Linked DNA regions of Danio rerio. The protein of the gene in region 2 purifies or fractionates together with the protein of the main gene of each other region. This does not show direct contact. Links are inferred from orthologs where the notes say so. Each region holds a gene or a part of one and is shown on either strand. Other genes may lie near its edges.

Evidence for each region. Proteins that work in one complex are often made in the same cells at the same time.
Region 1: the proteins of dr1 (region 2) and kat2b purify together in Homo sapiens (affinity purification with mass spectrometry; 3 studies listed by BioGRID and IntAct, with this or other methods). This does not show direct contact. The link is inferred for Danio rerio from reciprocal best matches to the Homo sapiens genes DR1 and KAT2B.

Annotation. Positions count from the first base shown.
Region 1 is NC_133194.1:23,131,008-23,134,666, forward strand, and holds part of kat2b (histone acetyltransferase KAT2B), read left to right. Parts: intron 1-236; coding exon 237-323; intron 324-696; coding exon 697-878; intron 879-3,659. UniProt on the Homo sapiens protein: Functions as a histone acetyltransferase (HAT) to promote transcriptional activation. Has significant histone acetyltransferase activity with core histones (H3 and H4), and also with nucleosome core particles.
Region 2 is NC_133181.1:26,454,909-26,458,667, forward strand, and holds the start of dr1 (protein Dr1), read right to left. Parts: upstream 2,308-3,759; 5' UTR 1,803-2,307; coding exon 1,583-1,802; intron 1-1,582. UniProt on the Homo sapiens protein: The association of the DR1/DRAP1 heterodimer with TBP results in a functional repression of both activated and basal transcription of class II genes.

The DNA.
Region 1 (3,659 bases), on a different chromosome or scaffold from region 2:
GTAGATCAAATCGTCTTGACCATGTCTACATGCCTAAATGCACTGAGTTGCTGCCATGTGATTGGCTGATTAGAAATTTGCGTTAACGAGCAGTTAGACAGGTGTACCTAATAAAGTGGCCGTTGAGTGTATATTAATGTAATTTTACATTCCGTATATGTTCTGTGTATATTATTACAACTGTATATATTCGGTTTGCAACTGTTTGTCCAGCTTATTTGTTTAAACTGTTACAGCTGCTAAGGAAATGCATCCTGCAGATGGGAAGGCCAGTGGTGGAGGCTCTGGAAAGCCCGCCTTTTGAAAAACCAAGCATCGAGCAGGTAACTTCTCAACTGTAAATAGCAAGAATATTTTTTCATCATTACGAATGAATCATTGTCTTAATCTTTACATTTAATAAGCTGCATGTGTTTGGTGACATACTTAACTAACAAGTCAACCTCTTCATCATGATCATGTGCGAACATCAGTGATATTGGTGTCAGGAATGAGCATTTATGATATAACTTTTTATAACTTTTCTTCTAAAACAGACTTTGGTGAAAACCACAAGCTCCAGCTTTCTTGCTTAATTTGTAGGCATTGTACTATAATTCTGATGTACAAATATGCTAAACACCCAAAGACACATTCCTAAAATCCTTGCTGTTGGAGACACATTTATGTTTTTTTCCTGTGTTGTTTTTGTTGTAGGGTGTGAACAACTTTGTGCAGTACAAGTTTAGCCACCTTCCGTCTAAGGAAAGACAAACCATTGTGGAGCTCGCAAAGATGTTCCTCAACCAGATCAACTACTGGCAGCTAGAAACGCCCTCACAAAAAAGACAAAGAGCACCAGATGATGATGTAGCTGGTTATAAAGTCAATTACACCAGGTGATTGCTAGTTTTTTTTACTTTACACTAAGGATTAGTTCACCCAAATATGAAAATTCAGTTATTAAGGGCTCATAATCATGTCATTCCAATCCCCTGAGACTTTTATGCAACATTTAGAACACAAATTAGGATATTTTAGATGAAATTTGAGAGCTCTCTCATCCTCCCTTAGCCATGTTTCCATCTAAAGATGGAAATTAAATTTATGTGCAAAACTGGAATATTGCATAAAAGTTTTGTGAATGAAGCAGCATTTAAACCCAAAGAGTCAAAGAGAACAAAATCGTTAACTGGTGCCGAATATCAAAAATAAAAACAGAATTTGCTGTGGTAGGATGAGCTGCATTAATCTTATTCATTTAATAAATTATTTGAAGACAATGCCGACATGCAATAAGCGCGTGGTGGCGTTTGAAGATGTGAGATGCGGAGCACAGTCACTTTTGACAGTTCTGGACGTAATAAATAATATATTACCACTAATACTGAAATAGTTACAGCATTTTAGAATGACCAAAACAACATTTCAGATATTTTACAATGTGGTCAGCCTGCTGGTTTGTCCATTCACTTACATGTTATTATAATCACACGCTCTCCTCTAAAAAAAATCACATGACTTTTTAATGCGCATCCTGAAATTAGTTTGGTAAAAGTGTTTCTATCGTAGTTTATAGCAGTTGTTTCTTATTGAATAAAAAGTTAATATTCAAAGTTTATGTGCATCTTGGCATTTCTATCAACCATTTTTTATGCGCACATCTAAAATGCACATAATAATATTAGGTGGATGAAAAACATAGCTATTGACAGCACTGCACTAAAAAGTCCAAAAAAGGATCTAAATCATTCCATGTGACTTCAGTAGTTCAACTTTAATCTACAAGGCTCCAACATCGCTTTTGTGTATGAAACCACATTCACTTTTGGCAGTATGTAGACATGGGGCAGAATAAGTTTCTGACGGTGTCAACCTTGGATAAAAATATCACAGTGTTGTGATTACTGCTGTAAAATAAGTTATTTTTAAATGTCTTGGTAAAAAAAAAAAAAAAAATTCCCCCCTAATGAACACAATATATTTTATTTTAGGAAACATTTAAAATTTTTTGGAACAGTAAACATCTCAGACTAAAGAATAATAAAAAAAGGCATTTGCTATCTTCATTAGTTTCAAAACCAGGTTTCTTTACAAACCTTAAAAAACTCTTAAACATACATTTGAAGTGGTTAAACAGAAAGATTTTGCGGGTTTTAAAACTTTGAATTTTTCAAATCGCGGTAAACCTTGAAACCGGTTTTCGTCCCATGACTGACAGTGTGACATATTGCCAATAGAGTCAGCAGTGAAACTTCCTTGCATTGTATTGCCCATATGAAAGAGATAATTCATCCAAAAATGCGTATTTAGTCACTATTTACTCAATGGGTTCCAATACTTTATGAGATTATTTATTCTCTTGAACACAAAAGAAGATACTTTGATCAAAGCTTAAAACCTGTAATCATTGACTTCCATACTAGGAAAAACAAATACTATGGAAGCCAATGATTACATTTCCAACATAGATCTTCTTTTGTGTTCAACAGAAGAAAGAAGCTCAAACAGGTTTGAAACAAGTAAAGTGTGAATAAATATTGACAGAATTTTTTTTTTTATGTGTCAACTATCACTTTAAATTAGTACCCTTATTTGGGTAATTTTTATTGTATTATTTTCGATACAAAAATATTCTTATAGCTTTTGTATGATTTCAGTTGAATCCCTAAAGTCACATGAAATGTTTTGACAATGCCTTGGGTCCTTTTTAGAACATTTCAGCATTGTTGTTTTCTGTAGATGAAGAAGCTCTTGGATATTATCTAAAATAATCTTCGTTTGTGTTTCGAGGATGAATGCAGGTTCATAAAAAAAGTTTTTCTTACTTAGAATTTTTTACTTGTTTCAAGTCCAAATATTTAAAAAATTGTGAATAAAAAAATTCTAATTTATTTTTTTTAACTTAGTTTTACTTTTAAACAAGCTAAATTATCCAACAAACAAAATAATCTTCAGTTTATTTTTAATTAAATTATATATCTTTTTAAAGTGATCCGCTTATAACGTTATAAAGATTTTGACCAACAATTATCACAATTTAGAAGTATTGGTCTATTTTCTACAACACACAAACAACATTTCTAGTAAGTGTTTTGTGTTGGAGAGATTTACTCCCTTTGGCTTTAACAAAATCATCTTTAATAAATCATCTTTTCGAAAGGTATCCAATTGTTCAACAGATGGTGCACTAACGAAACTGTTTAAATCAAACTCAGCCATACTAATATTATGCTCTAAAACTCCACTCAATCACTAATCTTCATTCACTCAAAACTCAAAATTGATCCGCTGTCAAACACACATCGTCTCACTTCATCCCATAAAGAGATAAATTTAAATAATCTCACCGCTGCCACCAATTAAATGTTACGTGTTTTATGATGTTAAAGTGGGATGCTGTAATATTTAAGTGACACAGGTGTAATGTGTGCGACAGATCAAGAATGAGGCAAGGTTCAGTTACTCTTATTTAAGCTTTTTACTTAATAATTGAAACATGTAACAATAATAAATGGGGAAAAAAAACATTTATAATTATTATCTTTAAACAAAAACAATGAGTGTAAGCCAAATCAAAGAAATTAACAAAACAAAGCAATCCTTAAATCTAAAATCTAAACTAGGCGTCAAAAAGAAACACAAAATAAAAACCTAGATCTTCAGTGTATACGACACCC
Region 2 (3,759 bases):
AGCACAAACAGCTGCTCGAGTTTGTTTGTATGTTCACATGCTAAAGGGTCTTGCTCATTAGGTTGGATGTTTGTCATCTTTGACAATAAAATTTAGTTTTACAATTTACTATTCTGGTTTTTGGAACTTTCTCCCAGAGGCTATAATCTGCACTTTAACTAAAGAAATAGACATTTTATTTTGATAATTATTGATACTGACTCTGATGTAAACAATTTTAGCATATTAACATGGCCATACTGCCCAGTCCTACATAAACCACCGCATCATTTATTTTCAAGCGTCTCAAGACCACTTGCAGACCAATTGAACAAGGAATAATTTACAATAGACCATTGAATTTAGGCATAGAATGATAACCATTTTCAAGGTATACCGCGGTATGAAAAAGTCAAGGTTTTAAAACCATCAAATTTTTTTGCAATACTGTTGCTAAGGTGATGTGTAAGATTGTTTATTTACATTTTTCTTGCTTTTTTTTGGACAACAGTTTGTCCAGCATAAAAGATATCCAAAGATGCTGTTTTTAACTGTAAAAAAAAAATGTGTTTTTGAAATAAGTGAAGACAGCAGAAGTCAATGATTCATTTGAATTATTTAGTCTGAAGTTTACTGTTCCAGAATATTTTAAATGTTTCATAACATAAAATATATTGTGTTCAAAAGGGATTTTTTTGTTTTGTTTTACCCCGACATTTAAAAAGAATATATTATTTTAGAGCAGTAATCACAATACCATGAAACCGTGCAATTTTTATCAAAGGTTATCATATAGTCAGAATCTTACACCAGCCCATGCGTATTTAATTATTCAAAAATAATGCACAACCAAGGTGGTGATGCGGCCACAATGCAAAGCAGATGTGCATTATTTTCTAATTTAATGAATAAACCAGAGTAAATTATTCCACTTGTACTATGGTTTCCAGACTGAAAGACGTAATTTAAGACATTTGAGAGGTTTTTTCCATTAAACAGCTCTTGTGTGTTAAACTACTAAAGTCTTGTGCATACCAACTCATTATTTGATTTGTGACACTTGCAGCTTGTGAAACCATTCAGCATAATGATATTGAACTATAATGCTGTCTGGAACTGCTTTAGCCGTTTAAATAATTGAAAACTGAAAATAATTGCACACCTTAGAATGTTCATCAGACAATCAGAATCAAAAGTAGTATATAGAGGTAAAGTTGGTTTTATATTTGGATATATTTAGACATTCTCCTTAATAATAACATTTCAGAAAAGTATTCTTTGCTAATTCTAAATAGGGAAATCATATTAGCAGCAAATGACTATTAAAGTACAACACTGTTCACACAGATAGTGTAAATGTTGTTTAGAAGTCATATTTCCATGCTAATTCCGATTGAATATTCAAGGCAGGATGGTAAACAATATAGGGACTGCTAAATGAACGAATGTGCGAATATAAAACTAACTTTACCTCTACAAGTAACGTTACTATAACTCTGAATAAACGATTCGCCTTATTACAAAAGCTTTGAATGAATTAAGTGCAGAAACGAACAATTTGTTGTTGGAATCTCACAGCATTGAACAGAAGTGACATACTGACCGTTTATAACATGTTCCGGGGATATAGTTTTCTTTTCTGATTTATTGCAGATCTCGTTGGCCTCTGATGAGACGAGGTGAATGAACTCTGTGCAGCAGTTTACCACCAGCTCTCTGGCATCGTTCGCTACCCGCACATTGGGAAGCGTTTCTTTGATCATTTTATTGATCGCCGCCCTCGGGATGGTCAGATCATCGTCGTTCCCCGAAGAAGATGCCATGAGGGATGAGCAGCCGAGACGCTTCTGTGTTTGAAGGAGTCAAACCAGGAGAGGAGGCTCAACGGCTTTGTTGATGATAAAACACCGACAGCAGCGGCGGCTTTGTGTGGAGACTCAGATGGTGCGGTCGGTTTTCTCGGAGCAGATCACGAAAGGCTGGGAATACACACACGTGAACACATTTGAAAATCCGAAGACGTCGGAAAGACTGTGAGTGTTTGGCACAAGGAAGGGAGGAGGATGAGAGTCGGTACCTTTCGGTTTGATCAGTTTACGCTGACTCTCCACATCCACACATCAGTGCTGCTGCTTTTGCTGTGCACGTTTATAATCATGATTCAACTCCAAACATTCATTCTCGAGCCGCCTGGGTAACTGAACAGATCCCGCGCTTATTAGACTAAAGCACGGGGAGGAATGTTTTAAGCACCCGAATCTATTAATTCATTACTTCACCCGCTCGGTTAGCGATCAACGAAACGAACCCCACAATGCAACACTCCCGGATATCCGGTAATTCTTCTGCTTGTTATTGTTTCGTGGTGTTGCTCGGCATTGCCGCCTACTGTACAAAAATGATGTTACAATTTATGCGCATGTTTTCTGCTAAAAAAACAAACTGGCAAAAACTTTTTTTATTGTTTCAAGCTGAACATACAAATAAAATGGAACATATTTACAATATTCCATACTGTCATCTCAAGGTTGAGTAATAAAATAGGCAAACACAATATACATCGAAAGAATAAAACGACCAGTTTTTGTTAAATGAATTGCAATAAAATAATAAAGGAGCTTAGAAAATTAAATTAGCTTATAAAAATCCCAAAAATAGATGAGGTTATGGGCTTTTTTATCATTCAACAATTTTACAGATTCGCACAAAAGTTTTACCTCATTCACTGATTAAAGGAGTAGATTTGAACCATCTGCATTTGTGAATAAAGATTTTTCCCAAGCATAATAGAACAATGACAGCAAAATGAAAATTCTTTGTTTTCAAAGATACCAAACTTAACTGTTTTTGAGGGGAGGGAAATATACAGTCCTGGGGCCTCATGTATCAACGCTGCGTATGCACAAAAACTTTGCATACGCCAGGTTTCACGCTCAGAATCGCTCACGTTTGGATTTACTAACGATGAACTGAACGTGGGAATGTGCGCGGCTCCACGCCAGCTTTATGGCTGGCGTACGCACATTTTTTGTGCGTGTCTGTTTTATTTCCATTGGCGACTCGACAGTTGTGTTAAATTGCACTCTACAAAGTGTCTTTGAGCCTTGCAATGGCAGCTGTAGGAGACGGGTTCATCTAGCAGGTATATAAGATTTCCATAACATACAGTTGACCAGCCAAACATTAAAGAGCAATTTGCAGCGGTCGCCTGTTTTCCCATTGTAGTGGGGGCGATCTACTTCACGCACATTGCTATAAAGGCACCAACTGAAGATGAATTTGCACGCATGAATCAGAAACATTTCCATTCAATAAATGTGCAAATAAAATATGATGCACATACTTATTAATGATTCCTACTTGTCTTTCTCGTGATAAATAGTAGGCAAAATCTGATATGCTGGAAAAAAAAGAAGAATGAGTTCATCAGACGCTGGATTCGAACCGAGTTCATGCTCGAACGTGTCAAAACATGCTACCTTGCGTTTTACGATCTGTGCCACTGAGACTATTAAGGGTATTACAACATTTTACACCTATAAATCACACTATTTCTCTTTTAACTCCACAGTGCGTTGTTCAGATCCAACTGTGTTAACCGCATCAGCTAAACTCTCCCCACTCTATTTTTTCTTTTGTTGTTAATTCCGGAGGACAAACTTGCAAATAACACAGTTTTCCTCCGGTCTACCTCCGAAAGCAGCACCTTCAATTCACATTCTGTTCAAAGATTCTCTTTTTTCTTGCTTTTGCCTTTGCTTTTTCGTTGGGTTTTGCCAA